Linked DNA regions of Canis lupus familiaris. The protein of the gene in region 1 interacts with the protein of each later gene in a pairwise test. Links are inferred from orthologs where the notes say so. Each region holds a gene or a part of one and is shown in the gene's direction. Other genes may lie near its edges.

The links.
Region 2: the proteins of ESR1 (region 1) and MED25 interact in a two-hybrid assay, tested with the Homo sapiens proteins (2 studies listed by BioGRID). The link is inferred for Canis lupus familiaris from reciprocal best matches to the Homo sapiens genes ESR1 and MED25.
Region 3: the proteins of ESR1 (region 1) and TRAM1 interact in a two-hybrid assay, tested with the Homo sapiens proteins (2 studies listed by BioGRID). The link is inferred for Canis lupus familiaris from reciprocal best matches to the Homo sapiens genes ESR1 and TRAM1.

The regions. Positions count from the first base shown.
Region 1 is NC_049222.1:42,768,232-42,778,170, forward strand, and holds the end of ESR1 (estrogen receptor), read left to right. Parts: intron 1-2,904; coding exon 2,905-3,139; 3' UTR 3,140-7,376; downstream 7,377-9,939.
Region 2 is NC_049222.1:107,409,954-107,420,503, reverse strand, and holds the start of MED25 (mediator of RNA polymerase II transcription subunit 25), read left to right. Parts: upstream 1-4,936; 5' UTR 4,937-4,993; coding exon 4,994-5,127; intron 5,128-5,223; coding exon 5,224-5,269; intron 5,270-5,500; coding exon 5,501-5,625; intron 5,626-10,550. UniProt on the Homo sapiens protein: Component of the Mediator complex, a coactivator involved in the regulated transcription of nearly all RNA polymerase II-dependent genes.
Region 3 is NC_049250.1:20,180,404-20,191,086, reverse strand, and holds the start of TRAM1 (translocating chain-associated membrane protein 1), read left to right. Parts: upstream 1-5,069; 5' UTR 5,070-5,286; coding exon 5,287-5,409; intron 5,410-10,683. UniProt on the Homo sapiens protein: Involved in the translocation of nascent protein chains into or through the endoplasmic reticulum (ER) membrane by facilitating the proper chain positioning at the SEC61 channel.

The DNA.
Region 1 (9,939 bases):
TGGCCCAGGGCACGATCCTGGAGACCCGGGATCGAATCCCGCGTCGGGCTCCCGGTGCATGGAGTCTGCTTCTCCCTCGGCCTGTGTCTCTGCCTCTCTCTCTCTCTCTCTGTGACTATCATAAGTAAATAAAAATTAAAAAAAAAAGAACAATCCTTTAAAAAAATAAAATAAAATAAAATAAAATAAAAATTAATGAAAGGGAATAAAGGGAAAGGAGAGAAAATGAGTGAAAATATCAGTGAGGGGGACAGAACATGAAAGACTCCTAACTCTGGGAAATGAACAAGGGGTAGTGGAAGGGGAGGTGGGGGGGGGGAGGGTGACTGGGTGATGAGCACTGAGGGGGGCACTTGGCGGGATGAGCACTGGGTGTTATGCTATATGTTGGCAAATAGAACTCCAATAAAAAAAATTTTAAAAAGAAAGTGGAGAAAAAGGAGAAAGAAAAGATTATTTACTCCAAAAAGGCGATAAAAATGAGGTGAAGTGATGATACTAGGGATCAGATACCCATGCATGATGAAGTCTGTATGACCTTGGGTTTACACCCAGACCCTAGGAATGAAAACGAAATTTCTTTTCTTAGTGGCTGTGAGGGAAGGGCTGTGGTGTCTGGAGGGTTGGCTTAATTTTGAAGGGACTTTCAAACCTTGAGATTATGCATCAGGTGTCAAGAAGCTTGTCCCATCAAAGTCCCATGAGCCACCCTCTCTGGAGAGATCTTTGAAAATTGATAGCTTCTTGAGAAAATAAATGTATGTTTCTTTCTTTCTATCCCTTCACAGTCCTACATATGATGACCTCTGCTATGTCGCATAGGCTCACAACATTATTGCTGAGTGAATGAACATGTGAGTGAATGGATGAATAAGTTATTTGTGTAGTTTCCCTACCCCATGAATTCAAAATTCCCAGTTGGTGATTTCCACTTGGCAAAGTTTGAGAGAGAGTGATTGTCGTTTCTGTGCTCAGGGGATTGCCTACATATCTGGTATCACAAACGGAGGACTCACCTTGGCCAGGTAGGGTAGATAACTGCATTCAGAGGACACTTTCCAATCCTTTCCCATGTGTATGTTTTTATGAATATAAAAAGGGATGCAGGGAATGTGTCAGAATAGCAAATCTCTACCAAGTTTCCTGGCTAGAGAGTAAGCTTCCTCTTGAAGAGCTGTGTTAGCTTTTACTCTGGGCTAGGAATTTTCAAAGATGTCATAGAAACCACGTATTGCAGATGAAGGTTTTTATTTGTTGGTAGGAATTGCTGAACTTTCAAATCCGTCAACTGCTTTCAGCATTAGCAAGCCTATTGAGTTAATACCCCAATATATCTGCACTAAATTTATAGGGCTCTGGTAGTTTTATTGGCAACCTGTGGTGAAGGGCAACAGCAGCGAGAGAGCTCTCTAGAGTCTGTTTGACTTGTGTGAAAAGCTGGAGAGAAACTGCTATTCTGTTGAAAGCTTTGAGCATTTTCTCTCTCTCCCTGGGGTGCGTGTGCGCATGTGCACCCATGCACAAAATAATATTTTGGTGCCTTGTTACAGCCAGTCTAAATCACAGAACTCTGTTTTATTAAGTTTGACCCAGCCATATGTTGTTACTCAGAGAACTTAACACCAGATTCCATGTGACTATAAATGTGATTCGTTAGGTTGCAAGAGCAAGACTGTGTGAGATCCAGCCAGCATTTAATATTAACAGCATTTTAAATTACAAACAAACAAACAAAAACCACTTAGATATGTAATTAGGTTGTGGTGTTGTAAGACCTGAATAGCTTGATGCTGTGTTTTCTTGGCATGTCTCCAACTTGGGCTGACTTTTCCCCTATTAAAAATGTAAATATTTTCCAGGATAATACTCTTGGTCCTGACTACTCATGATACATGATTCTTTCTAAAAAATTTCAAGCTTGATAAGAGTTGTTCTGTATTTTTCCCATTGGTGGTGGGGTGGGGAAGACAGTGGTCAAAAGAAGAAATGACATTTGTCTACATTTCCTTGTGTCCATTTGCCCCGTATTTTTCTGAGCATCTACTGCATACATGGCGAGGGTCGAGGCCGGCAGGTTGGGCAGATCGCTGTCTCCAGGAATTTGCCTGGTGCATGTTGGTGTGTGCGTGTGCGTGTGTGGCTCACAGGTCCAGGGGTGCTTGGGGGCAAGAACCAGCATGCACTCATCCAGAGAGGAATTTCAGGTTGTCCTAGAGCCAGGAGGAAAACAGAGTAAATGCAAGAGGACAGGTAAAAACCACAGGACCTTGAGGTGACTGCCACCCGTGGCAGCAAAAGGCCCTTCAGAGAATGTGGCTCTGGAAAGAGCACACAAGTAGAGGAACAGTAAGTATAAACACTTGCATCTGGTAGTAAAGAGCCCAGTTTCTTCAAGCTCTTTCTTAAAAAGCTGTTTTTGTTTGTTTCTTTTTTTTTTTTTTCCCCCAGCATGGCTAAAGAGTATGAGGTAGCAGAGAGAGGCAGGAGGAGCCCTGAGAGGTCGGCAGAAGCCACATCAGTTAGACCTTGAGAGCATGGAAAGAAATTCAGATTTTATTCTGATTAAATGGAAAACACTGGGGAAAGTCTGAAGGAAGGGAAGTTCTTGAACCACTTTTATACTTAAAAAAAAAAAAAAAAAAAAGACCTCCCTCCTACATGGCCATATGGCCTCTGTTCTCTTTTTAGATACAATGCTAACAGTGGGGAATAGAACCTTATTGGAATCAGTGGAAGGAAATCACTTGTATAGCAAATCCTGAAATGGCTCTTTAAACAGGGAGATAGGTTGGCCTACAGGTGTCTTTGGAGTTTCCCTTACTTTGGTCCCTGCTGAGGGGTTGCAGCAGCTCTAGGGCTTGCGCTACTCTAAAGTGGTCCCTCTGTGTGTCTTCCCACCCACAGTAACAAAGGCATGGAGCATCTGTACAACATGAAGTGCAAGAATGTGGTGCCTCTCTACGACCTGCTGCTGGAGATGCTGGATGCCCACCGCCTGCACGCCCCAGCCAGCCGTGGGGGTGTGCCCATGGAGGAGACAAACCAGAGCCAGCTGGCCACCACGGGCCCAACTTCATCACATTCCTTGCAAACGTATTATATCACCGAGGAGGCAGGGAATTTCCCTACCACAGTCTGAGAGCTCCCAGGCTACCCCAAGGTCCTGAGAATCCCTGTACCATTTTACCCACGTCATGTATCACAATAGCAGAGTTCTGCTCCTGCGCACACTCCAGCATGCATCCACCACCATGGCTTTCTAATATGAGTGGCCATTTGTTTGCTTGCTCAGTTCTTAGTGGCACGCCTTCTTTTGGGAACAGCCAAAGGGATTCCAGGGCTAAATTCTTTCACTCTCTCTCTCCCTTTGCTATAATACTAAGCATGAGGATTCTATAGCTTTTCATGATGGAACTCAGTCTATGAGCTGGGACTCAGGTGACTGTGCATTTAAGCTACTTGTTGAGACCCAGACCTGGAGAGTGGACATTTCATCTCTGTGAAGCACTTTTTAACAAATCTAAGAAAAAGCCACAGGAAAGACTTGAAAGTGGCCCCTTTAATTTGCTGACTTGGAGAAAGCTAGGTCAAGGGTTCATTATGGCATCATCTTGTATTCCTGTAGTAATGTAACATTTTATTAAAGTAATACCTTAAAGCTTTTGCTCTGTTGCATGGCTGGAGCTGAATATGCAGTGATTGTCTCTTCATTTGCCCTATAGGAATACAAGATGCCCACAGAGAAGGAAGGTCCCCTAATTGTCAAAACTCTGTCAACTTAATACACTGCACCTTCAGATTTGCTGAAAGCTCTTCCACTGGTTTTTGAGAACACTATGTACAGGTCATGGGTTCCAGTTAATTCTTGCTTCCCATGGATCTATGGAAAACAGCAAGTTGATCCCAGTTAAGTCACCTCCACATATACCAGTTTCCTTTTAAGGGATAAATTCTTGGCCTTTGTTTTTTTGTTTTCATTTTATGAAAGAAAGCCCTTTCCCCGCAGGACTTGTAAATCAGCTTCAGAACCTGTTCTAGCGTGGTCTCACAATTACCAGCAGAGGGCGCTCTGCTTGGTTCTTCCTGGTGTGTAACTGACACAGAAGGTCAATTAGTAATAGTGCCCAGCATATGACCAAGGGCAGTTTAAATGAGTGGGTACCTGGTGACATCGTTAGCCCTAGGGCACTTGGGTAAATAGTAAACGTGCACAATTATTGTACATATTAGAGAACAGGAGGAAAGTAGGGTGGAAACTAAAACTGAGAGGCTCACGGTGGCTCTGCCACATGCTGTAGCTTTACACAGGAGTGGCCCTGGCAGGCCCTGTGTGCACTGTGGGGCAGCCCTGGGATCCATGGGCAGCCCTCCTCTTCTTGCCCCCATGATTGGAAGGAACAGCAATAGACAAGACAGCTGCATTCCTACAGCTGGCCCTGCACGTGGTTAGGTGAGGCTGGAGGGTGAGGATAGGAGGCTCACTACTCAGGCTGCCTGGGATCTGGTCAAACTTTACCTGCTCTTGGTTGTTTAGAGCTCATCCAAAAACCACGGTTTGGTCTTGGAGAAAAAACTTTACCCAAAGCTCATTTCATTAAACTTCATAAGCCAAGAGAGCGAGATTAGAATTGGGCTATAGGAATCCTTTGACCTATAGGCTAAACAAGAAAGACTCACTCCAGCCACAGGGCAGCCTTCCCTAGGCCTTTCCTTCTCCAGATCATCTATGGTTTATCTTTCTTCTCAGTGAGTTTGGTTTCCTCTGGTGACCTCATTGTCTATAACTCAAACCCCATTGAGAAGTGATGGGTTAGCGAACAACCCAGCCAAGCTTCTAGGGCTTCTCTTGGGATGCCTGTTTCAAAAAATGGATTTCTTTCATTTTTGATTACTTAGTAAGTGATCACCAAAGGACTGGGAGCCTGGGAGGGCCAAAAAAAAGTTTTGTTTTTTTTTTTATATATGCGCATCTGAATTTAGGGGCAATATTGTGTATCTGCAGTAAGAATATGTTTAGAACATAATTCTTTTGTTGTTGTTTTGTTTAAGAAGCACCTTATATAGTATAATATATATTTTTTTTGAAATTACAATGCTTGTTTATCAGACAATTGAATGTAGTAATTCCATTCTGGATTTAATTTGACTGGGTTAAATGTGCAAAATCAACAAAAGATATTTAGTTTTTTTGTATAGCTACCTTGTCATGTATGCAGTCATTGATGCCTAGGGCCTGGTGATTATTCATTTTAATGAAGATCACATTTCATATCAACTTTTATATCCACAGTAGACAAAATAGCACTAATCTAGATGCCTATTGTTGGATATCGAACGATAGACAATCTTATGTAGCAGAGATTATGCCTGCAAAGGAAAATTATTCAGGGCAGCTAATTTTGCTTTACCAAAATATCAGTAGTAATATTTTTGGACAGTACCTAATGGGTCAGTGGGTTCTTTTTAATGTTTATACTTAGATTTTCTTTTAAAAAAATAAAAACAGACAAAAAAATTCTAGTACTATAGATGATGTAATACCAGCTAAATCCAAACAATAATGAAGTGGAGGGTTTTGCATTATTCATCTAATGTGTTTGTATTCATGTTAAAGATACTACTACATTTGAAATGGGCAGAGAACACCAGATAGTTGGAATGTTAGCACAGCAAAATTCAAATAATTTTAGATATCTCTTTTTATTCTTATTTGAAGTGCCACTAATGGACAGCTGACACTTAGCAGCTGATACTGCTGTTGGGGGTAGGGAACATGTTGAATTCCGCCCCCCTCCCCCACTCTGAGGCAATTTAAGTTTTGAAAGACGTAATCAACCTGGGGGGTTAGGGTAGGGTGGGGAAGTAGGTTCAGGAATTTCAAGACTGGGAAATACAGTAATAAGAGCCTTGAAATATTTTGAGGCAGATCAGTTCTGGCACCTGGAGTATGAACCAGAGTTCCATATTCCACTTGTGCCCTGTGAACTACAAATGACAAGCATTTCTAAAATGGCAGCTGGAATTCTATGGAAGAACAAGCGTCCGCACAATCTACGGAGTAGCTAGTGGTCTGGGTTTCTTTTGGCCATTGCCTAGCTCCCGGCTTGCGGTAACGATTCTGGATTGCTGTCATGCAACAATCAGAGAAGCTAGTTCATCCAAAGAGAAGACCCTACAGAGGTTGCAAAATCCAGCCCCTAAGGAAGGGCAGTCATTGGTTAGATTTTCCGATGAACCTTGCAAGGCTATCTAACCATGCCATATCCCATACCTTTTGGGGACTGAACAAATAAGGGACTTACTGATAATTTACTCTTGATCACATTAAGGTATTCTCGCATTAAAATCTTATACACTGAAATGGCCATTGATTTAGGCTGTTGGTTTAGAAACCAATTTCAAATCCCTTCCTATTCATACTTTCCCACTCTTAGATGGACTGTGGATGCCGGGAATGATCACTACGACTGTAGTAATATCTAATATTCACAGGCAAATCTGCTTTGGGAAACTAGTTATTTGGAAGGCAGATAGTCATATACTAGTTTCTGAGGCAATCCTGCTTCCCTGTGGTGCAAGTCTTGGGAGGATGATCCAGATTACACTGCACACTTCCTAGGTGAACTCCCTGAAAACTTACTCTCAACTGGAGCAAATGAATTAAACTGTGGTCCCAAATATTCATCTTTTCACTACTAGTGTAATTTCTCTCTTTCTAACTGCATCTCCTTTTCATTTGGATTAAAGTGAGTGTGGCCTCTTTCTATGTCGTTTATAATTGTTTTCTAAGTAACTGCTGCCTCTATTATGGCACTTCAATTTTGCACTGTCTTTCAGAGATTTGAGAAAAATTTCTATTCTTTTTTTTTTTTTTTGCATCCAAATGTGCCTGAATTTTTAAAATATGTAAATGCTGCCATGTTCCAAACCCATCTTCAGTGTGTTTGTACAAAGCTGTGTACCCTGGAAACAACATACAGCCCCATGAGCAGGTGCCTGAGATGTGGACCCCTTTGCATTCACAGAGAGGTCATTGGTCATAGAGACTTGAATTAATAAGTGACATTATGCCAGTTTATGTTCTCTCACAGCTTATAAACAATGCTTTTTGTGCACAACATATTCTTCAATGTAGAGCTCTTGTTTTATGGGAAAAGGCTTACATGCCAAATCGTGTCTGATGGTTTAATATGCCTTTTCGCTGATGCATACTATTATTGATGTGATTCTGTTTTGTTGCAGCCTTGCTTTGTTTACTGAAACACACTTGTAAACCTCTTTTGCACCTTTAAAAAGTAAGGAATCCAGTGGGATACTCAAGCACCTGTAAACAATTTTCTCAATCTATTTGATGTTCAAATAAAAAATTAAACGAATGATAATGGGCTTATTTTTTGTAAACTTATTTTCTTGCTAATGGCTTACCACTGACTGCCTCAAATCAAGGTGATGGGATGCAGTGAATCCTGAAGATCACTCTGATGATCTTCCTCCCAGGCTCCTTCCTCCCAGGCACAGGAGGAAGTGTGTGGACATCTGAGGCAGGCCAACCTGGCCTCACTTCTCGGCTCTACCACATACAAGGTTTATGATCCTTGGCAATGAATTTGTCAGAGCCTCCACTTCCTCATCAACAAGATGGTTACAGTGACACCTAATTCACAGAGTGGTTGTGAAGATTATATGAGGTGTTCTTTAAAATAGTAGCTTTCTAATGGCTAACCTTATCCCATTCCCTGTAGGGGAGAAGAAAGAAGCTTGAGAGTAATTACTCCTGAATGAAGAAGTGCAAATTGGAATGAACAATCTGAAATTTACATGATTTGCTCAAAAACCAATTTTTTTTAATCATGACCTTAAAGCAGGAATGACCAGTACATTGCCTCCCCAACCCACCCCATCCCACCCCACTCCACCCTAGGGTTTCTGTTGTCCAATGGCTGCTCCCTTTTCAGAGCTACCTCTTGCCCATTTTCTCTGTAATTTAATGAATGAGTTGAGGGAAACTAATGTGACTAATTAAGAGGCAACAGAATACAGCAACGCAGGCTCTACAGCTAGATTACTCAGTTTGAAGCTTCATTCTACCATTTCTCATGTGACCTTGCACAAGGCAATTTCCCCATGCCTCAGTTTCTTTGCCTATAAAAAGAGAAAATAATAGCACCACCTGCCTTGAAGTGTTGCTGTGAAGACCACAGGGGTTAACACAGGAAGCATTTACGGACAGTGGCTAGCACTGCTCTGCTCTCCCTGAGTCCTCTCCCATGCCTGTCTGTACTCACTTCCTCACTAACAGGAGTGTAGGTTTATCACACTGAGTCACTTTGACACCAAGAAGCTCTTCTGTTTTCTTGTTTTATCATCCCTGGGCAAGTTCTTCAATCCTATTTTACCTTGTTTCCTCCTGCCTAAAGTGGAAATGAGAACTACCCACCCTATGGGGCTATTATGAGGATTCTAAGAGAAAACTATCTAAAGTACCTGGTCTAGGACCTGCTCCTATGAAGCTATCCTGGGGATAGCTACCCTAATTGTACTTGTTACCACCCTTTGTGAACATTTACATTTAATGGAATCATTGATAGGTTTGGATTTACATTTGCCATTTTTGGTATAAGTCTTTTATCTTTTTCTTTCCTGTGTTTCTCCTTACTGGCCCCTCCTTTTTTTATTTGAATAAGTATCTTTAGGATACCTTTTTTTTTTTTTTACTATTTTTAAATTTTCTTAGTGATTGCTCTTCTAGTGTGCATCTTAACCTACCATGGTCTTTTTTCAGATTAATACTCACTTAAATCTGACAAAATAAAATAAATATCTTTGTTGTAAGAGACTTCCATTCTTTCCCCACTCCTTTATATTATTACTGTGATATATATTCTATCTATATGGAATAAGCCCAACAATAAAATGTTATACTTCTTGGCTTATACAACTTTGCACCTTTTAATTTAAAAAAAAGATTTTATTTATTTGATAGAGACACACGAGTGGGGTTGGAGAGGCAGAGGGAGGAGAAGCAGATTCCTACACCCCCCCACCCCCAGCAGGGAACCTGACTCTGGGCTCAATCCCAGGACCCTGAGAGATCAGGGCCTGACCCAAAGGCAGAAGCTTAACTGACTGAGCCACCCAGGCACTCCTAACTTTGCATCTTTTAAAAAAGATAAGACGTGAGAAAAAAATTACTTACATTTTTTCTATCAATCTACATATTTTACCATTTTCAGTGTTTTTCATTTCTTTCTGTGGATTTGAGTTACTGTCTGGTGTCATTTTTCTTCAGCCTGAAGGAATTCCTGCAGAGTTTCTTGTGGGCAAGTCTACTTGAAATGACTTCTCTTTGTGGATCCAATTATGTATTTATTTCATCTTTATTTTTGAAGGGTGATTTTTCTGAATACAGAATTCTTGTTTGACAGTTTTGTTTTGAGCACTTTGAAGGTAACCATCCCTCACCTGGCTTCTATTTCTTCAATCCTTATGATTCTCACCTCTATCCGGTGAGTAATTTTCTCCTTGCTGCTTTCAAGATTTTCTCTTTGTTGAACAACAGAGGCTATGATGTGTGTAGATGTCAATCCCTACTTGGGATTTACTCAGCTTTCCGGATATGTACTCTGATAGTTTTCATCAGGTTTGTGCAGTTTTCAACCATTATTTTCTCAAATAATTTTTCTCCCCATCTCTTCTGTGACTCTCATTATATATGTGTCCCCATGAACCACAGTCTATTTGTCCCTTATTAAACTTCTCTGAATCCAAGGAATGGAGTTGTCATCATGTGCCATGTGTTATTTCCAGAGCTCACCAGCTTTGGGGAAAATGTTTAGCAGTCTGTGGAACTTTTAAATTTATCCAGTTGGAATACTGCCTGGAGGTAGATTCTACTCATGAACTTGTTCCAGATCACGTTCTCCAACATGATATATTCTT
Region 2 (10,550 bases), about 65 Mb from region 1:
CAAATGTGTGGGGTTTCCATATCAAGCAATTCTCCAGTTCTCTGTGGACACCAAGTGGATGTCTTACAAGTCAATTCATTTCTGACACTAACCACCTGGAGTCAGCATAGATCTGGAAGGTCAAGGGGATCGCTGGGTGGCTCAGCAGTTTAGTGCCTGCATTTGGCCCAGGGTGTGGTCCTGGAGTCCTGGGATTGAGCCCCAGATCAGGCTGCCTACAAGGAGCCTGCTTCTCTCTCTGCCTGTGTCTCTGCCTCTCTCTGTGTATCTAATGAATAAATAAATAAAATAATTAATAAGTAAATAAATAAATAAGTTTCCCATTGAGTTGGGTTTTTTTTCCCCAACAATTATATAAATTTCTCCCAAATCTGCCTACTCTTTCTCCATATTTTCTTGATAATGGGCTGATCTTTATGATTGTGTTAGTGGCAAGCTGCTTCTAAAATGATTCCCAGTGATCTCCACCTCCAGCTACTCAGTATCTTTTCTCTTTCCGGGTGTGTGCATGGGACCTGTAGCTTGCTTTTAACAATGGAATTTATCGGAAGCAGTGGGATGTCACTTCTGAGATTAAGTTATAAATATTATGACTTCCATCTTGCTTGCATTTTCTCTTCTGTCGGTACTGTCTTGCTTGTTCTGATATAGCCAATGCTATGTTGTGATGCACCCAAAGGGGTGGTCCTTGGAATTGAGGACAGTCCCTGGCCTACAGCCCATGAAGAACTGAATCCTCCTAATGATTACAAGAGTACAGAAGCAGATCCTTCTCCAGTTCTGCCTTGAGATGATTACAGGGCTGCCTGATGCTTTGATCGAAGCCAGTGAGAGACTCAAACATACGAGCCAGTGAAATCAGAATTGGATTCCTGATCTATAGAAACTCTGAAATAATTAGTGTTGTTTTAAGCCACTACGGTGTTTTTTTTTTTTTTTTATTGTATTTATTTATTTGAGAGAGACAGAGCATGAGTAAGGGGGAGGAGGCAGAGGGAGAAGCAGTTTCCCTGCTGAGCAGAGAGCCCAATGTAGGGCTCGATCCCAGGACCCTGAGATCATGACCTGAGCTGAAGGCAGACCCTTAACCAACTGAGCCACCCAGGTACTCCTTAGGCCACTAAGCTTTGAGGTAATTTGTTACACAGCAAAAGATAACTTAGATAATGTCCTTTATTTCTCTCAACACTTTGCACATTATGGTACATTATGAACCCAACCATTGCAGGACCTAAAGTCCTGGAGGTGGGGATGTCACATCTGTTAACTGTTCTTTCTGTGGACTCTAACTTATAGTCCTTGCTTCTGCGGTGGTGGTCTTTGATCTGAACTCATTACCTGCTATTGACCGGAGTTCTATAAGGAGTACTGACTTCTACTTTTGCAAATTCTCAGGAATGTTACCAACCTGGAACGAGTTCAACTGCCCTGGGATGCTCTTGCTTAGCTGGAGAAAAAGACTCGGTTTTCCAATTCACAGCTACATTCAGGTTCTGTAATGCCAATGCAGCCCCTTCCCTGTGCAGGCAGTTCTATGCCAACATCCCCTTTTTTGTTAATTTTTGGCTGTCTTGGGAAGCCCCTGTGGCTTAGCGGTTTAGTGTGGCCTTCAGCCCAGGGCGTGATCCTGGAGACCTGGGATCCAGTCCCACGTTGGGCTCCCTGCATGGAGCCTGCTTCTCCCTCTGCCTATGTCTCTGCCTCTCTCTCTCTCTCTCTCTCTCTGTGTGACTATCATAAATAAATAAAATCAAAAAAATAAAAAATAAAAAAAATAAAATCTTAAAAAAATTTTTTTGGCTGTCTTTTGGGGGGACAGTGGGGAGGGATTCTTGAAGACCTTTCATGAGGTCTACCTTTTAAGAAACCACCAATGTTGCAAAAATAGTATTATTACACCTAATCCATCATAATGCTAGAAGCTGAAGTCCAGGCTAAAATATCTAATTGTTCATTTTTACCATTTGTAATATATTAACAGAGATGTATTAAAAATCAGTTAAGGGTGCCTGGGTGGCTCAGTCAATTAACCGCCTGGCTTCAGTTCAGATCATGATCTCAGGGTCCTGGGATCGAAACCCACATTGGGCTCCCTGCTCAGTGGGGAATCTGCTTCTTCCTCTTCCTGTACCCTTCCCCCTTTCCTTGTGTGTTCTTTCTTTCTCTGTCTCAAATAAAATCTCTTTAAAAATCAGTTAATAGGGATCCCTGGGTGGTGCAGCGGTTTGGCGCCTGCCTTTGGCCCAGGGTGCAATCCTGGAGACCTGGGATCGAATCCCACGTCGGGCTCCCGGTGCATGGAGCCTGCTTCTCCCTCTGCCTATGTCTCTGCCTCTCTCCCTCTCTCTCTCTGTGACTATCATAAATAAATAAAAATTAAAAAAAAAATCAGTTAATACAACCAGTCATACATTCAGCTTATCTAAAGAAAAGTTTCCTTTTACTTAATAGGGTGGATTTTAATTTTAGGAAGTATTTTAATCGTCTTACCTGTTGATCATTTTTCCTTTCTCCAATTTAATCTTCCTTATACTTTTATGTGATCCCTGGGTGGTGCAGCGGTTTAGCGCCTGCCTTTGGCCCAGGGCGCGATCCTGGAGACCCGGAATCGAATCCCACGTCGGGCTCCCGGTGCATGGAGCCTGCTTCTCCCTCTGCCTATGTCTCTGCCTCTCTCTCTCTCTCTATCATAAATAAAGAAAAATTAAAAAAAAATCTTCCTTGTACTTTTATTAAAATTGAATTACACTGGCATAAAAAAATGGGAGCTGCTTTAAATTAAAAGAAATTTAAGAGAGAAAAAAAGAAAAGAAATTTAAGAGTTATAATGTCTAAATATGTTTTTGGCCTTTGGATCCTAATGTAAATAAAACAATTGAAGAAAGACATTTTGAGAATCAGGGAAAGTTGACTGTGGATTCGTGTTAGATAATACCAAGAATAATTTTGTTAGGGGTGATAATGGCATAGTGGCTATGTAAGAAAATGTCCTCAAGGTTTTTTTGTTTTTGTTTTTTGTTTTTTTTTTGTTTTTTTTTTTAAGAATTTTTATTTATGGGCAGCCTGGGTGGCTCAGCGGTTTAGTGCCGCCTTCAGCCCAGGGCCTGATCCTGGAGACCTAGGATACAGTCCCATGTCAGATTCCCTGCATGGAGCTTACTTCTCCTTCTGCCTGTGTCTCTGCCTCTCTCTCTGTGTCTCTGAATAAATAAATAAAATCTTTTAAAAAATGAAGTTTTATGTATTCATTTGAGAGAGTGTGAGCACAAACAGTGGGAAAGTAGAGAGAGAGAGAGAGAAGCAGACTCCCTGCTGAGCTGGAAGCCTGGCTGGGGCTCCATCCCAGGACCTAGAGATCATGACCTGAGCCAAAGGCAAGCCGCTCAACCATCTGAGCCACCAGGCTCCCCATCCTTAACTTTTTAGAGAGGTTTGCCAAGCAGATAGAGGTAAAATGATGATGGGATGTTGGGACTCTGCTTTAGAAGGCTTCAGCAGGCACATCTGGGTGGCCCAGTTGGTTAAGCGTCTGCCTTCTGCTTGGCTCAGGATACCAGGGTCCTGGGATTGGGCCTTGTGTAGTCAGTCAGTCTCCCTGCTCAGTGGGGAGCCTGCTTCTCCCTCTCCTCCCTGCTCCTGCTCTCTCTTGCTATCTCTGTCACTATCTCAATCCGTCTCTCTCAAATAAAGTCTTTAAAAAGAATAAAAATAATAAAAGACTTCAGCAAAGAAAATTAAAGCAAAAAGGGACGGATAAGGTAAATGTGACAAAATGGTGATATAACTGTATGCAAGAGGAATGCACCCTTTTATCTTGAAGTACATTACCAAACGGCAGGAGGGCAAGTTATGCTGATTTACAGCCCCTTCTAGACTATGTCTGAGCCCAAACTCCCCCGACTTCATTGGCATCATTCTTTCCGATATTAATTAGCACGACAAAAGCAAAATGCTTTTTAATTGGTGAAGATAAGCAATTTTCAGGGGTTTAATTGCCATTTTAAATTGTTTTGTATGGGAGAAGAGAGAGCCTTCATACCAGTAAAAAAAAAAAAAAGTATTTCTCTTTTCCTACGTTTTTATTGATGAGTAAGTTATATTTATGTAGTAAAATTTCAGTCAATACATGTTACAAACGACTTTCCCAGTTTATCATATTTTTTTTTCAACTTGGCTTATGGAGCCTTTTGAACAAATTGATCAATATTTTACGTTTCCTGGCTTTGCTATGATGATAAACTCTTTTCCCAGTCTTCAGGATTATGCGGTGTGTTCCTTTCTTCCTTCAGCTATTTTTAAGGTTTCATTTGTTGCATTTACATTTTTAATCCACCTGGAATGTATTTATGTTCTAGGCTAGTTTCTGGCCGCTCTCCCAGAAAACAACAATCAGGTGTTGCCTAGCAACCGCCACTTGGGTTGGAATTGGGCTTCTTTGAGAGGGAAGAACAGCTGCACTCCCCTCCGAGTGGCCGGCAACCCCAAGCGTTGCCTAGTAGCGCCATTTCAGAGGATGTGATTGGACCCTTCACACGACCCTCCCCCCATCTCTCCGCGGCAGAAAAAAATTAACCAGAAACCTAATCTCGCCGATAGAAAACTAGGGCAGCGTATGCGTTGCATAGCAACCAGGTCTCCGGCCCCTCCCATTGAAACCAGAGGCGGAGCGGGCGCCTCGCTCAAAGATGGCGGCCGACTACGGCTCTCTCCATGTATGTCACTCTCCACAGTCCTGACAATGACCCAATCTTCCCCGTCAGGCCCCTGAAGGGGTTCGCTATGCTCTTAATCTTGCACGCGGCGGGTACCTACGAGGATGGAGATAGAACCAGCGCGCCCTGCGTGCCCCGCACAAACATGGCCGCGGGCGCGCCGAGCCGCGGCGCTAAGACGTCCCGCGCCGGGGGGCGCGCAGCGCAGGCGCACTTCCGCTCTTTCCACAGCGGCTGCGGCGGCCGCGGCGGTGGCGGCGGTGGCGGCTGCTGCGCGGGGCATGGTCCCCGGGTCGGAGGGCCCGGCCCGCGCCGGGGGCCTCGTGGCTGACGTGGTGTTTGTGATCGAGGGTACAGCCAACCTGGGGCCTTACTTCGAAGGGTTGCGCAAGCACTACCTGCTTCCGGCCATCGAGTGAGTGCCGTTTCCCCGACTTCCAGCCCGGCCCTCCGACTTTAGTTTTCCACAGTCTCTTGCCTGACCCCGACCTTTTACCTCCGACCCTCGCAGGTATTTTAATGGTGGTCCTCCTGCCGAGACGGACTTCGGAGGAGACGTGAGTCTTGGGACTCCTGAGTCTGTAGAAGGAGGGAGGCGGGGACCGGACTCCTGAGTCTGAGGAAGGAGGAGCCCGGGGACCGGACTCCAGGGTCCGAGGGGCGGAGGGGGCCGGGGATGGACTCCAGAGTCTGAGTGGGGAGGAGTCCAGGACCGGACTCCTGAGTCGGAGGGCGGAAGAGCTGGACGGGAGTTCCAGATGAAAAGTTCCTCCCTCCTCCTCTCCCAGTATGGGGGTACCCAGTACAGCCTCGTGGTGTTCAACACGGTGGACTGCGCTCCCGAGTCCTACGTACAGTGTCACGCTCCCACCAGCAGCGCCTATGAGTTTGTCACCTGGCTCGATGGCATTAAGTGAGCATTTTCTTGTGTTAGGGGGTGGGTTGGGGGACCCTGTGAGGGACCATGAACGGATGGCGGCTTGACTTGAGTTTCAGGAACCGTCGCTCACACTGGGTGGCTGAAAGGACTGAGAGGGATTGTTTTTGTCCATAAGTCACTTCTGTGGTGGGTTCCGTGTGCTCAGCGTTTTTGCCCTCCGATGTGGAAGTAGAAAAATCTTCTCAGTTTGGGAGGCCTGTTGAGCTCCAGCTCCGATCTCGTACTGTGTGGTTCTCCGCATTTGGTCGGCTGTTCCTCATCTCCACCGTAGTATTCCTATTTCACATGGGCCTCTTGAAGCCTGAGTGCAAGGGGGGCGTGGGGCCTAGGCCAGGATAGATCTCTCTGTGCTCTGAATGGGATTTGGAATGTTCACATTGCAGGCTCCCGCGGGTACAGATAGCCTGTGGTCATATCACAGCTAAACCATCAAACTCCCAGACCCAAGAGTCCCTGCTCCCTTTGTGCCTAATGTAGTTTATCTCTTGTCGCTTTATTTATTTTTTTTAAGATTTTATTTATTTATTTATGAGAGACACAGAGAGAGATGCAGAGACATAGGCAGAGGGAGAAGCAGGCTCCCTGCAAGGAGCCCAATGCGGGACTCGATCCTGGACCCCAGGATCATGCCCTGAGTCAAAGGCAGATGCTCAACCACTGAGCTACCCAGGCGTCCCTATCTCCTGTCTCTTTAAAGGGGGGGATTAACATTATAGTACTTGTGTTAATTATTTATTGTGTTATTTATTCTTTGTTGTGTAACACATTATCCCAAAACTTAGTTGCTCAAAACAATAAACGTTGATTATCTCATGCCATTTCTGTAAGTAAGGAATTCAGGACTGGCCTAGCTGGATAGTTCTGGCTCAGGGCCTCATGAGGTTGCAGTCATGCAAGGGACCAATTTGTTTTCAAGGTAGCTCACTCTGTGGCTGGGGGAATGTTCTCCTGACGTGGCAGCTGGCTTATTTCAGACGAAGCAACACAACAGAGAGGGCAAAGAGGAAGCTACAAGAGTTTTTATGATCGAGTTTTAGAAGCCACACAGCGTTGTCTCTGCCACATTCTGTTTGGTAGAGAAGTCAGTCCTGTTCAGTGCAGGGAGCATGAGGGGAGGTGAATCTCAAGGGTGTGAATAACAGGAGGTGGGGATTGTTGGGGGTGGGGGGTGCTAGCTACCATGACTTCATAGGCATAGGCATTCTTTGGGAATTGAATGAGTTAGTTGGCTACTACTTAAAACAGCACCTGACATGTATTAAGTGCTATGTTAGTGTTCACTGTTGTTTCATGCCTGTTTCTTGGTTTGTGAATAGATAATGGTAGTTCAAATGTCCATGCTCTCTGGAGGATCACAGGAACTAATTTTCCTATGGTGCCTTCATACTGCCTAGCCCAGGTCTGGTCTGTGGTTAGAGTTCATGAAACGGCACTGGTTCATGATGGCTCTTCTCTTCATTCGTTTGTACGGCAAGAGTTTGCTACTTAGCAAACTGAGTGCCTGCTCTGTTCCAGGCTATGTGTGTGCAGGACTAGGTGCTGCACGCCCACTGGGAAGTTGACACCCAAGTTTGACCCCTCATGGCCATTAGAACTAGTAGTCAGGACAGAGTAGGATTTCCCAACCTCAGTACTGTTGACACTTTGGGCCAAATAATTCATTATTGTGGGGGATTGTCCACATGGCAGGATGTTCAGTAGCCTCCCTGGCCTCTAGCCACCAGGTGCCAAGAGCCACCTCCAAGTTGTGACCAACAAAAACGTCTACAGATGATTGTCAGCTGTCCCCTGAGGCAGGGGGTAGGGAAGGACAAAATCCACCCCAAATGAGAAGTACCGAGATAGGTTGTTTTAAGACATGAATAATGGTAAGACGGGACTCCCTGATGCCCAAGTTCAAGTCTGATGTCTAAGTCCCTAGCGCCAAGCACAAGGTCTGGCACCAGGGCGGTCTAAGGAGAACTGGGTGGAATGAGGGAATATGTGAGTGAATGCCCAGAATGCATTTTATATATATATATATAAATTTTTTTTTTAAGATTTTACTTATTTATTTGAGAGGGAGACAGAGTGTGGCAGAGGGAGAGGGAGAAGCAGACTCCCCTCTGAGCAGAGAGCCTGAAGCCGAAACCTGGGCTCAATCCCAGGACTCTGAGATCATGACCTGAGTCAAAGGCAGATGCTTCACTGATGGATCCGCCCAGGCGCCCCCTGAATGCACTTTATACTCTGATTCTTCCCAGTGAACTATAAGCTTCAGGACCCAACTCAGAGGTCCCTTCCCTGATGCTGGCAAGCAGCCATCACTCCCTCCTCTGGGCCTGCCCCTCCCAGCCGTCCCCTGTCGCAGCCCCATGCCTCTGGACTATGAATGGCTAGGTCCCTGGTGGTCCTTCTGCTTTTTGTTTCCAGCTGGGGCCTGGCACTCAGAAGGTCTCAGAAGACCTTGACAGTAAATAAATGAGTGAAAGCCATGAAGAAGATAATCACCAAGAAACCAAAGCTTCTGGTAGGTGTTGACAGGTCAGGACAAGCAGTTAAACCCCTTTATTTGAAACTTCCCAGAGGCACCTGGGTGGCTCCATTGGAAGAGCATGTGACTCCCGATCTCGGGGTTGTGAGTTTGAGCTGCACACTCAGGTGTAGAGATGACTTAAATAAGTAAAGAGAAACTTCAAAATAAAATAAAATAAAAAAACCTTAAAGATGGACAAATAAATCTTTCCAGAGCCCCTGGAAGATAAGAGGGAGATACTTTTTGAGCACATTCAGCATATACCCACACCTCCTCCTAAATCAGCTTAGAATACACTATATCTTTAGCCAAATGAAAAAGCTTTGTATGCTGTGTGCTCCCTGCGGAATTCTCCCAATCGGTTGATAAACATTTTAAGCCATTTACATTGGCAGCAGTCAGCGGTTTACCAAGTCCTGTGTAACCACCTAAATTCAGTTTCTGTGACGTTGCCGGGGGAGTCTGGCAAAGAGATCACAGAGTTGGCGGGTTTTGTTCACGCCCTGAGAAGAAATCTTATCTTCTCCTGGAACGTCCCTAACTTAAGGAACAAAGTATGTAGTGTGATCTTTGAAACATCCTTGCTTTGGGAAGATTTATTTCTGATGTTCCAATTCCTTTCTTTCAAGAGGGGTGGGGATTGTTTCCTCCTCCCCTACAGCGATTGACCCAGAATCAGAAAGAATAGAGGTAGAAGGAAAAGAGCCCTGAGTGTGTTCTCCCTAGCACTGTGACAGTCTGTTTGTTCATTCATTCACTCCTTTTCACAAATGTTTGTGGAGGAAACTGTCCTGAGCCCTGAGGAACTGGGGACCTAAGACAGGCCAAGCCTGGCTGCTGTTCACATTCACTCATTTTGATCATACCTCAGTGGGGATGAGGACCCTCCAAAGGCTTATTACCCTGTGAAAGTGGGCACTGAAGACTCCAGTGGTTGTGGGGGGGAGGTGTGGGCATCAGCAAGAGACCTGGGGAAGCAGTAAGAATCAGAGCCCACCTGTAGCACCAGGGCACGTTCATCTTCATGTTTGCACCATTGAAGACTTTGCTTGGAATTCAGGTTCATCATGAACTTTATGATATTTAAAATATATTATGTAACTGACCAGATTTTTACTTCTCCCCATTTTCAAGTGTTTCTCATTTCCCAGACGAAATATTTGTTACATATCTCTCTGAGCACGGAACAGACAGCCTACACTCAGGAAGGGAAGAACAAGTTTTAGGATCTCAGGGTGATTGATTGGTCACATTTTCCCTCATAAGTTACTTTTTTAAATTGAGGTAAAATTCACATAACAGAAGTGATTGTTTTAAAGTGAACAATTCAGTGGCGTTTAGTATGCTTACGCTGTGCAACCACACAGCCCCAAAACACAGTTTCATGCCCCTAAAAGGAGACATGCACACATGACACAGTTGTTCTGTATCTTACCCCCTGCACTCCCCCCTAGCCTTCTGGCCAGGCCCAGCCAGGGCACCTTTGGCTCTAAAAGGCTTATGAAAATAGTGGTTTGATTTATTCAGGAACAGGAAGCAGCTGCAGAGTGGATGCAGGGTTGGTTTATTCGTTGGGGTCTACCCCAACTCTGGCCTTAAAGTTCTGGTGCAGAACAGAGTCCCTGTGGTGAGGAAGAGAAGGTCTGGGAGCAGGGGGTGGGGGTAAGGAGCAGCAGCATAGCATGAATGCCCTGAGAGGGGGAAGGAAGGCATCGGGGTCATGGGGCCTAGCGGGAGAAGAGGGTGGAAGCCTGCAACTGGAAAGAATGGGCATGAGAGCTGGGGAAGGGAGTGGAGGGGTCGAGCTGCTGTGGCTTACTCATCCAGGAGGCCTTTTCTGAAGCCCTGTGTGTCCTTGAGCATGTTGGACACAAGCTAGAGATACCTCAGACCGACCACTTGGTCTCCCTCCCTGAAAGCTGCCCTGGCTCTGGGAGTCAGGTGCACTGTGGAGGTAAGCTTGACAGTCACAGTATACAGTGACATGTGATATGATTGAGGGTGGGGCCTAAAATCAGGTGGCAGCTGAGGCAGGCTTCCTGGGGAAGGTTGTTGGGCTTAGGTGGGGGGTGTCATAGGATAGATAAGCAGGGATTTTCCTCCTGGGCCAGAAGAGGGGTGAACAGCACAAGACAGAAGACTGGTTATGTGGCAGATCATGGAGACCAGGGACATGTGAGACATTCTGGGGTACTTGTACCCAGAGGAGGGTGGAGCAGGAAGGTGGGCAGAGCCCGAGGCACGGAGGGTCTCAGATGCCCAGCTAAGAGCATAGCTTTATTCTGGCCTTAACAGACATGGTTGGATTAGGCAGCCCTTTGTTACGTGTATGTACGTGTGTATCTAAACTCTGTGTCACACATGGGGCTCAAAGTCCGACCCC
Region 3 (10,683 bases), on another chromosome or scaffold:
TTCCCCACTACCATGACCCACCCTGAGAGGATTCAATGGCAGTCACCCCTTCTTATCAATCCTAAAAAGGAAGTTAAAATTAGAAGAGATTCCCTGCTTCTCCTTAAAAGATCATCAGGATAATTCCACTATGAATTAGAACATTTTCTACCTTGGTACCCTCTAGAAGCAAACCTCCAGTGTCATCCACTGTCTCCAACTTCTCTTCCCCAAATGACTCTATTCATCCCTTTAATGATTTCAACTAAAAGCCACCCTCCTGGCCTCTCAACCCTTCTACTTTACCCCCTAGGGCCCCAGCTGTGTCATCTGCCAAATCCTCCACACCTTCTACCACTTACTGAATATCTTCTTCACCTTCATACTAAGAAACCTGGCTACAGCTCTAACTGAAAACTGAAACCTGCTTTCCTTCATGCCTTGTCAAGAGGTGGCTGTTTCTTCCCTCCCACTCCTTACATACCACAGAGCCCAGGGGTGGAGTGGGTGTTTTTCATGAGCCTTATGGTTGATGACAGTTTTCCTCCCTTGCTGAAAAATGCCAGCTCTTTTGGAAGCCCATGCCCTCCAAATATACCACCCACTATCCCCCTGTGGCAATCAGCTACTAAACTCTGACTCCTCTTCATTTATGTCAGACGTTAGCACCTGGCTCATTCCCTGGCTCCTTCCCATCCTATCCCTTCAGTCATTCTTGGTGACTGAACTTCCATGTGAAGTGTGGCACCCTAGCCTTAAACTATTAAGCTTAACTCCTCACTTCTGCTGCATTCCTCCTCCATCCACCACAGCACACCCTCCCTTCATCGTGCCCTTACCATTTCATGGCCAATGACTGCACAACTCACTCTCAGCATCTCACTCCCCTACCCCTTCCTTCTCAACAAATGAGTCTCACTCTAACTATCCTCAACCCCATGGGCACCCCCCCATTCAGAGGCCCTAGCACTGTTTCTCTGTCCTCTGCATCTGTCAGAGAACTGGCAAGAAATAGATGGCATGTTCAGAAGGATTTAGCTGGAGAGTGTTTAATGAAGGGCCTGTTCACAGAGAAGTGGGCAGGTGGGGGGAACAAAGTTCCCAATGATTAGGAATGTGGGAAGCCATGACCACCAACAGCCTGAAGAGCCCAGGAAGAGCTGGAACAGTGAGAAAAAGGCTATCTGAAAGGGGCTATGACCACAGGAAAACACAGCCACTGCCAGAAGAAGTAAGGCAAGGAGGAATCAAGGAACAATAAATCCCCAAAACTCTCCTCTGACTTTTGGCTAGTGCCTTCCCTTGGCCAAACTCAATGAGAAGTCAGAGGGCAAGGGAGCCTCAGGGGTGCAGTCTGCAGAGGTTTGCCTTTTACAGCAGAAAAGGGTGGATTGTAGGCTGGAGGGTAATAGAGGATTAGAGCACAACCACCCCTCACAGCATTCACTCCATTAGCCCTGCCCTCATCTGCATATATCCTCAACATCCTTGCCCCTCTGTCATACTGGCTTGGCAAAACCCAGCTCTCTGCCTCCTCTTCCCCTGGATCCAAGCATGGGGTGTGACTGGAGACAAGTCTCAATTAGAATTTATGTCCCCAAGTCTCAAGGAGGCTCTGCTGTTTGATTATGTTCCCCCAATCCATTCACCCTCCCACAGTTTTACACCATCCTCTCTTCAAACTCCATTGTACTATACCCACTCCTGATGATTTCAGTTCATATTTTACTGAGAAAACAGATGCAATCAGAAGATGTACAAAATACAACTGAATTATCATAGACTTAAATGTAAAAGCTAAAACTATTAAGTTCTTAGAAAAAAATGCAGGAGTAAATCACTGTCTTCTTGCATTAAGCAATGATTTCTTAGGACATAAAGAAAAAGTGATAAAAGAGAACAGATAAATTGGGCTTCATCAAAATTAAAACTTTTGTGCTTCAAAGGACACCATCAAGAAAACAGAAAGACAAATAGACTGAGAGAAAATATTTTCCAATCATGTATCTGATAAGGGACATGTATCTGGAATATATTTTAAAAACTCCTAACTCAATAAATTTTTTAGAAAAATAACCCAACATATATAAGCAAAGGATTTGAAGAGACGTTTCTCCAAAAATATACAAATGGCTAGTGATCACATGAAAAGACTACTAATCAACAGCATTAGTAGGGAAATGCAAGTCTAAGACACAATAAGACACATAACTCATTGGGATGGAGAAAAGTAAACAAACAGAAAATAACAAATGCTGGCAAGGATGAGTAGAAACTGGAATCCTCGGACATTGCTAGTGGGATTGTAAAATGGTGCAGCCCCTTTGAAAATCAGTCTGACAATTCCTCAAAAAGTAAAACATAAAGTTGCCATATGACCAGCAATTCTAGATATATACCCAAAAGAATTGAAAACAAGAGTCCATATAAAACTTATACACTAAGGCTCACAGCAGCATTGCTCACGATCATCAAAAGGTGGAAATAAACTGAATGCCTATCAACTGATAAATGGATAAATAAGGTGTGATATATCCATATGATGGATATTATTTTTGCACATAAAAAGGAACGAAATACTGATTCATGCTATAATATGGATGAACATCAAAACCCTCACTTATCTCAAGTGAAAGAAACCAGTCACAAAAGTCCACAATTCTATATATATGAAATGCCAGAACAGGCAAATCTAGAGAGACAGAAAGATCAGTGGTTGCCAAGGGCTGCCAAGCCTGCGAGGGAAAATGGAGAGTGAGTGGTAATGCGCACAGGATTTTTTGGAGGATGATAAAAATGCTCTAAAGTTAGAATATGGGGATAGCTGTGCAACTTTGTTAATGTACTAAAAACAACCAAACCATACACTTGAAATGGGTGAACTCTGTGATATAAATTATAAAAAATTTAAAATTTTAACTTCCAATTTTAAAATTTGTTTTTTTAAAAAAAATACGGTTGAATCCCAAGAGACAGAATGCCTAGATCAGTCATAGAAGTCAGCAAAGGTTTCAAGAAAATCACGCATGAATGAGACTTGAAGGAACAGTGGGAGTGCGCTGGGTGTATGCAGAGGACAGGAGAAAACATTCCAGACAGAAGGAGCAGCAGGCATAAAACTGTCGGGAGCATGGGAAGAGAGCGTGATCTACAATATATAGTATGTGGAGTTGGAAATGTTGCACTAAGAGATTGGGTTTGAGCCTGTCTGGGTAGGCAGGGGCCAAATCATGAAGAGCTATTTAGTTCTGCTAGCCTTCCATGAAGGAAAAGGAAAGCCACAAAAAATGTTGAACCTGTTAGATGCATCATTCTGATGTAAAAACTGAAAGGTGATTTGGAGGTAAGTGAAACTAGTAATCATTTGACCAGAAAGGAGAAGAGTAAGAGCGAATATGTAGAAAGCCCTAACTCTCTACTAAGCACTTTCCTGGAATCATCTCATGTAATTTGCATCGCACTTAATTACAATCGTCTCCTCTTTATGGATGACAGCTGCGTGGCTTGGTCCCCTGCCTCCTTCAGGTCTTCAGGTAAATGTAACTTCTCCATGTTTTCCCTATTCCCTTTGCTTTATTTTTCTCCAGGACCCTCATCTCAATTTAACGTTTCACTTTTGGTTTTTTTTTTTTTTTTTACTATTATTCATGAGAGACACACACACAGAGAGAGAGAGAGAGAGAGAGAGGCAGAGACACAAGCAGGCTCCGTGCAGGGAGCACGACGTGGGACTCGATCCCAGGTCTCCAGGATCACGCCCCGGTCTGAAGGCGGCGCTAAGCCGCGGAGCCACCGGGGCTGCCCAACATGTTTCACTTTTTAAACCCTGTTTAAAGATCCTCTCCCTTCTCTAGAATGAAAGCTCCTAAGAACAGGCTAATTTGACATTTTTGTTCAGTTCGGTATCCCCAATGCCTAGCATATGGGTAGACGCTCAATATTCTTTGAATAAATGAAGAGATAAATAAAGAAGGAAATCGAGTCTCATTAGAGGTCAAGTAACTTGTCCACCGTCATTCAGGGTAATAAGCGACAGAAGTCTGACTCAAAAACCCATCGTCTTAAACCACTCTGCAGTTCGGCGGAGTCGTAAAATCGTAGGCAAAATGCAAGTCCCTCCCCGAGGCTGTCAGTGGTAAGGGGGGGGGGGGGGGTTAAAATTACCCGAGTGTGATGATAGTTCGGAAGTGGAAGGATGCTGGAAGGTATCAGTCCAGAATGACTGGTTTCTAGGTTTGGCAAATGGGTAAACAGTGGTGCAATTTAAGAGAAGGAATACAAAGCAGTCTTGGTCTAGGCAGAAAGATGAGAGAGGAAGATCTGTCTCGTCCACAAACCGTTTTCTTTTCTTTTCTTTTTTTTTTTTTTTTTTTAACAAGCTCTCTAGATTACTAAGAAGTGTTGTTAATAAGTATCAAGCAAGTAAACCCAAACTAATCCTGGCTGTCTTCGGTGAGACGCAGGGAGGGATGGGGATGGATGGATGAGGCTGAGTAGGAAGTGTAGGAAGTGTTTTTGTGTGTGTGTGTGTGTTTTCCAGAAAGTAGTTCAAGCTTTAAACAGATAGTTTTGGTGTTTGTTTTCTAGGGTTGTTTTGTTGCCGTTGCTTTTTAAGTCCCCAAGAGTGTTTAAAATAACCCTGAAGTTGACTTTTGAGATGCCAAACCTGAAGAATGCACCTTGCCCTTGTGTAGTTAGGCTGCAGCCATAGGTTTGGGTTCCCTCGATGGCGCTTCTGGCTCACCAGGGACACCCCGGCTCAGCGTGGCCAGGAGGGCGCGAGGGGACGCCCGGGGCCACGCACGCCACAGCACGCGGCCCCCCGCGGCCCCCGCCTGTTAACTACGCGCAGGAAGCTCGCGCCTCAAACGACTCCCAACCTCCACGGCGGAGCCCAGGAGCCGAGCTGCCGAGCGGAGCGGGTGGGCGCGCCGCTGCGATTCCCCACCCAGGCCGGCCGTGGGCCGACGGCCTCCGGTCCCCAGGGGGCGCTGTGGGCTCGCAGGGGCGACCCCGGCACGAGCGAGCGCCGTCTCCCTGGTGCGCATGCTCACCCCCGCTGTGGGCTTGCCTCTTTTTTTTTTTTCCCCTTTTTTTTTTTTTTTTTTTTTTTTTTTTTTTTCCGGGCGGCCCCGGCGGCTGCGTACTGGCTGTGGGATGGGAAGTGAAGCCCCAGCGAGCGGCAGCGGCGGGGCGGTGAGGAGCAGCCAGGGGGAGGCGGCGGCGGCGGCGGCGGCAGCCAGTCTGTGAGCAGCTGGAGAGCGGCGCCGGGGACGAGCACCTGCAGGCACGGGCGGCGGCCTCGCCATGGCGATTCGCAAGAAGAGCACCAAGAGCCCCCCGGTCCTGAGCCACGAATTCATCCTGCAGAATCACGCGGACATCGTCTCCTGTGTGGCGATGGTCTTCCTGCTGGGGCTCATGTTCGAGGTGAGTCCGCCCCGCGCCTCAACCGCCCGCCCGCCCGCCCGCCCGCGCCTCCCCCGGCTGCCGGCCTCGGCGCCTCGGCCCGGGACGGGGGGAGGTGCGGGCCTGCCCTGCCCTGCCCTGCCCTGCCCGGCCCGGCCCTGCCCGGCCCCGCCGCGCCCCGCGCCCCGCGCCCGCCCCGGGATGCCGAGCCCCGGCAGGCCTGGCCGCCCCCCGGGCCGCCGCGCACACCCCGCCCCCGCCCCCGGCCGGTCCGCGGCCCCTCACGTCGGCCGCGCCGCGCAGTTCCTGGTTCCCGCGAAGGGTTACGTGGCAGCCGGCGAGGGGCCGGCGGCGGCGGGGGCGGCCCCGGAGCTGACGAGCTGACGAGCTGACGAGCTGGCTGCGGGCGGGCGGGCGCCGAGTGCGTGGGGCCGGCGAGGGCTGGAGACCCGAGCAGGCCGGGCCTCGCGGGCGGGCGGGCGGGCGGGCGGGGGTCCCCGGAGGCCCCGGCTGGGATGCGCGCGGGGCACACGCCGCGGGCGCCCGCTCCCTCCGTGCAGGGCGGTGGCCGCGGGCCGCGGGCGGTCGCCACGAGTCCGGCGCGCCCGATTGTCTGCACTCTTCTCCCCCACCGGCGCTACCGCCACTTCGCGAACTTTTCTTTCTTTTTTTTTTTTTTTTTTCTTTTTTTTCCTTTTTTGCCGTGCTCTCGCGTTTCCCGTGAAGCCACAGGGTCTGAGCCGTGAATCCAGCTTCTCAACAGCCGTGCCAAGAAGCCTGAGCGATTCTCTTTTCGTTCCGACAAGTAGGAGACGATGGAAATATGTCAGGAGTGTGTAAATTCTCTTCCCACAGATCTCGTATTTTGATGACTTCTTTCACAGCTGTTGAATGTGGGTGATAAACTTTGCAAGGTGAACGTGTACGGAGCATCCTACGGGTTTTCTTTCCCTCGCTCCTCGGTACACACGCCCCATTCCTGATCTTTTCCTTTTTAATGTTTCTGTGTATAGACGCTGTGCCCCCATCAGATACACTAATTATTTTTTTAAGATTTATTTATTTATTTACTCATGATAGACGCAGAGAAAGAAAGAGGCAGAGACACAGGCAGAGGGAGAAGCAGGCTCCATGCAGGGAGCCCGACGCGGGACTCGATCCTGGGACTCCAGGATCGCGCCCTGGGCCAGAGGCAGGCGCTAAAACCGCTGAGCCACCCAGGGATCCCCTACACTAATTATTTTACTTATGTATTCCTTGTCTCCCTCCTCCTGGGATGTAACTTCAGTGAGGCCAGAGGCTTTGAAGTTTTATTACTCTGTTTGTAGTGCCCAGAATAGCACCTGGTACATAGTAGGTGCTTAAAAAAACATTTATTGGATGAGTTGGGTTAAAAATTCTTTTTTTGGGGGGGGGGGGGTTAAAAATTCTTAAGAAAAACCAGTAGGGGAACCCTGGGTGGCGCAGCGGTTTGGCGCCTGCCTTTGGGCCAGGGCGCGATCCTGGAGACCCGAGATCGAATCCCACGTCGGGCTCCCGGTGCATGGAGCCTGCTTCTCCCTCTGCCTGTGTCTCTGCCTCTCTCTCTCTCTCTGTATGACTATCATAAATAAATAAAAAAAATATTAAAAAAAAAAAGAAAAACCAGTAGAATGCGGCAGCCAGTGACAGCCGAATACGATTTTTAATGAATAAAATGAGTAGAATTTTTTTTTTGGGGGGGGTGGCTGTATTAACTACGTATTCCTGATTTTTCTTTTTTTTATTGGAGTTCAATTTGCCAACATATGGCATAACACCCAGTGCTCATCCCGCCAAGTGCCCCCCCCCTCAGTGCCGGTCACCCAGTCACCCCAACCCCCCCACCCACCTCCCTTTCCTTGCCAACATATGGCATAACACCCAGTGCTCATCCCGACAAGTGCCCCCGCTCAGTGCCCGTCACCCAGTCACCCCAACCCCCCCGCCCACCTCCCTTTCCACTACCCCTTGTTCATTTCCCAAAGTTAGGTGTCTCATGTTCTGTCACCCTCACTGATATTTTCACTCATTTTCTCTCCTTTCCCTTTATTCCCTTTCACTAATTTTTATATAACGAATAGAATTTTTAACTGGAGTCCCTGTGGGTTTTATAAATGTTATTAGGTAGTATAACATTTTAGTTTGCTTTGTTTCTCTTCTAATAGGCTTTTCTGGATCTAGACAGATGCTTTTAATTCCTGGCAGTGTCATTTATTCCACTTAATCCACTGCTAACGAGGTAGTAGATATGGTCGAAAAGAAGGTAGAAAAGAACTAACAAATGTCCCACGTTTTTTAGGCTGGCCCTGAGCTACTTACCTATTGGGTGACCCAAGTCTAAGCCTCAGTTTTTCAATGTAAGGAAATAACAGCACCTGTAGTATTCTCACAGCCGTTGTCGTGTTACAAGGATCAGATAATATGGTGTGACTGCATCTGATGACTGTTTAAAGTACTCTATGACTGTATGATATGAAGAATACAATTCTAAACATTTGGACTCACTTTTTGAATTTTGTATTTATATGTACTTTCTGTTTTGATATTAGAAGTAATACCTGTATATGTACAGCCTATTTAACAGTTTTGTAAAACTTGTTATAACCCATCTCCACATGGTAAGAATTCCTGACTTTAAAAATATAATTTAAGAATAATATAACCTGCAGGGTATATTTGCAATGTTTTGAATGAAATGGAATGTAAATCAGAAATCCTGATACTTAGAAATGGTGTAACTTTACTTTTATGTAAAAGATTTCACAATCTCTTAGCATATTTCTAGGGAAGTTCACCATCTATACCTTGCCTCACCTGTCAACGATTTTTTTTTTTTTTAAGATTTTATTTTATTTGTTTAATTGGGGGTGGGAGGCAGCAGCGGGGAGGAGCACGCAGACTCTCCACTGAGCGAGGAGCCAGCCATTGGGCTCGGTCTCCCAACCCTGAGGTCTTGACCTGAGCCAAAATCGAGACTGAAATACTTATTCGACAGAGCCACCCAGGCGCTCCATGTCAGTTATTTTTTTTTAATAGCAAGTGGATTTTTGCCTCTACGTAAATCTGTAAAATTTATAAATCTAAATAGACCTAACAGAGATCTAAATAGAAGTTTATAGTTCAAAAGAGAATGTTAAAGTAATACACAGAAGAGGGAAGTTTGTGCAAGTTGTACATTTCTCTTACCATATGTTGAAGTTTTAGGATTTGAATTCATGCTATCTACATATTGGAAAAACCTGACAAAATTAATTTTATTTAGTTTTTTAAAATAATTGTTACTGAATCTCAAAAGTGATACAACTATAGAATTAGAGTATTTGTGTTAGAATAATAGAGAAGTTGATTTTTTTGCAGTAGAACCTGTTAAACCTTTTGTGTAAATATATTGAGAAAATGTGAGCAGATTTACCAAGAAATTGACAAAGCAGTAACGGATACTGTATTACTAGCCAAAATGAAAAATCAATATAAATATACTGTAGAAGCATTAGATGCTATAGCTAAAGGGATCCATATTCACGTTAGGGCTCTGCAGCTTGCACACTGGGTAACCTCGGGCAGATTTAACTTCTCAGAACTTGGGTCCTTTCTGTAAAACAGAGCTCATTTTGTTACCCTGAGAATTAAATTAACTAATAATGTGTATCATGACTTTAGTTCCATGCTTGGTTTGCAGGAGCCATGCCATGAATAGTAGCTATTACTATTCATTAGATATTTTATCAAAGTTGAAAATAGAAGACAGCATTTTTATGTGAGAGAAGAGTCCTATCAGGTTAGCTTCTAAAGAGATTATGTGTAAAAAGGTTGATAAGGAAGTAGTCTGTTTTGAAGAAATCTAAGTTTAATTTCCCGGAAACTTCATGTTATCAAGAATTGCTTGTTAATTTTGAAATCATGGTTTTAGTACAGTCAGTATCTGTCCACATAATGCAAATCATGGTCTTTAGTTAATGGCTCCATATTTGAGTTGGGAAAACTCGAGCATTTGGAAAATAGAGGGGTGTTTGGGAATCCAACTGAGGATAAGAGGAGTGAGGAGTTACGGGTTTCAAGAGGAATATTTTTTACTAGAAAGGAGCTTCTCTGCAGGAATCTAGGTGGCTTGTGCCATGCAGGTTTGTGGGAACATTTACAATTATAGCTATCTTGCAACCGTTTCGGAGTCTTGTTATGTTTAAGGATGACTTGCCTTAATGCTAACATTTTCTTCCTGTCTCATTTTTTAAGGGCTTAATTTTATTTAAGCTTACGCTCATGGGGAAGTGGAATGTGATACTCAAAAATCATCTTTATCTTCCAGGTGTACAGTCAGTATAGTAAATCACACCTTCGTCTAAAAAGTACAGAATAATTTTAACAAAAAAACATAAAGCCCAAGCTAGTGACCTCTTGATTAAGAAAACATGAGCGTATTCATACATGCAACACAGAAATAGGGAATTCCTTAGAGTTTGTGGATCCTGTTTAAGATGTATCTAAGTTTCATTCTTTTCTTATAAATGGATCTTTTTTATTTAACTTTTATTTATTTATGATAGTCACACACAGAGAGAGAGAGAGGCAGAGACACAGGCAGAGGGAGAAGCAGGCTCCATGCACCGGGAGCCCGACGTGGGATTCGATCCCCGGTCTCCAGGATCGCGCCCTGGGCCAAAGGCAGGCGCTAAACCGCTGTGCCACCCAGGGATCCCCCTTTTCTTATAAATGGAAAGCAGTGATACACAGGCCCAAAACTGTCATAAACTCAGTTATTTTTACTTCTGAGTGTATTAATATATTTCTGCAGCATATTTTATTCCAAACTAATTTGTCTTACCATTAATTGATTATAATATTAGTTTAAAGCAGTGCTGGCTGAGGTGTGGGGCTTAGGAGGCCTGGAAATGGCTAGTAGCATGATTTTTCTATAAAACTTTAGGGGTGTGTAGTTTGTATTTTTCCTCTTGCTCTACTTAATGCCACATGCTAAAGTAGCTGGAGGCCAGATTTTAATTTTATTTGGAAGCCTACCATAAAAAGATAATCTAATTTTTGTTGCTTTTGGTATTTGATATTTATCTTTGAAAAGTTTTACTTGTCATTTGTAAAGGACTCCTGAGAAGTTTTCTTAGCTATGGTAGCGGCAACCTCATATTCCAGAATAGAAATAGATACGTGGAGTAAGTATGTACATGTTGATATATGTGAAATCTAAATAAAAGTGAAATTAGTGAAAATTTTCATGATCAAAAAATGAAATTTAGTAATTAACTTTATTAAAAAATAATC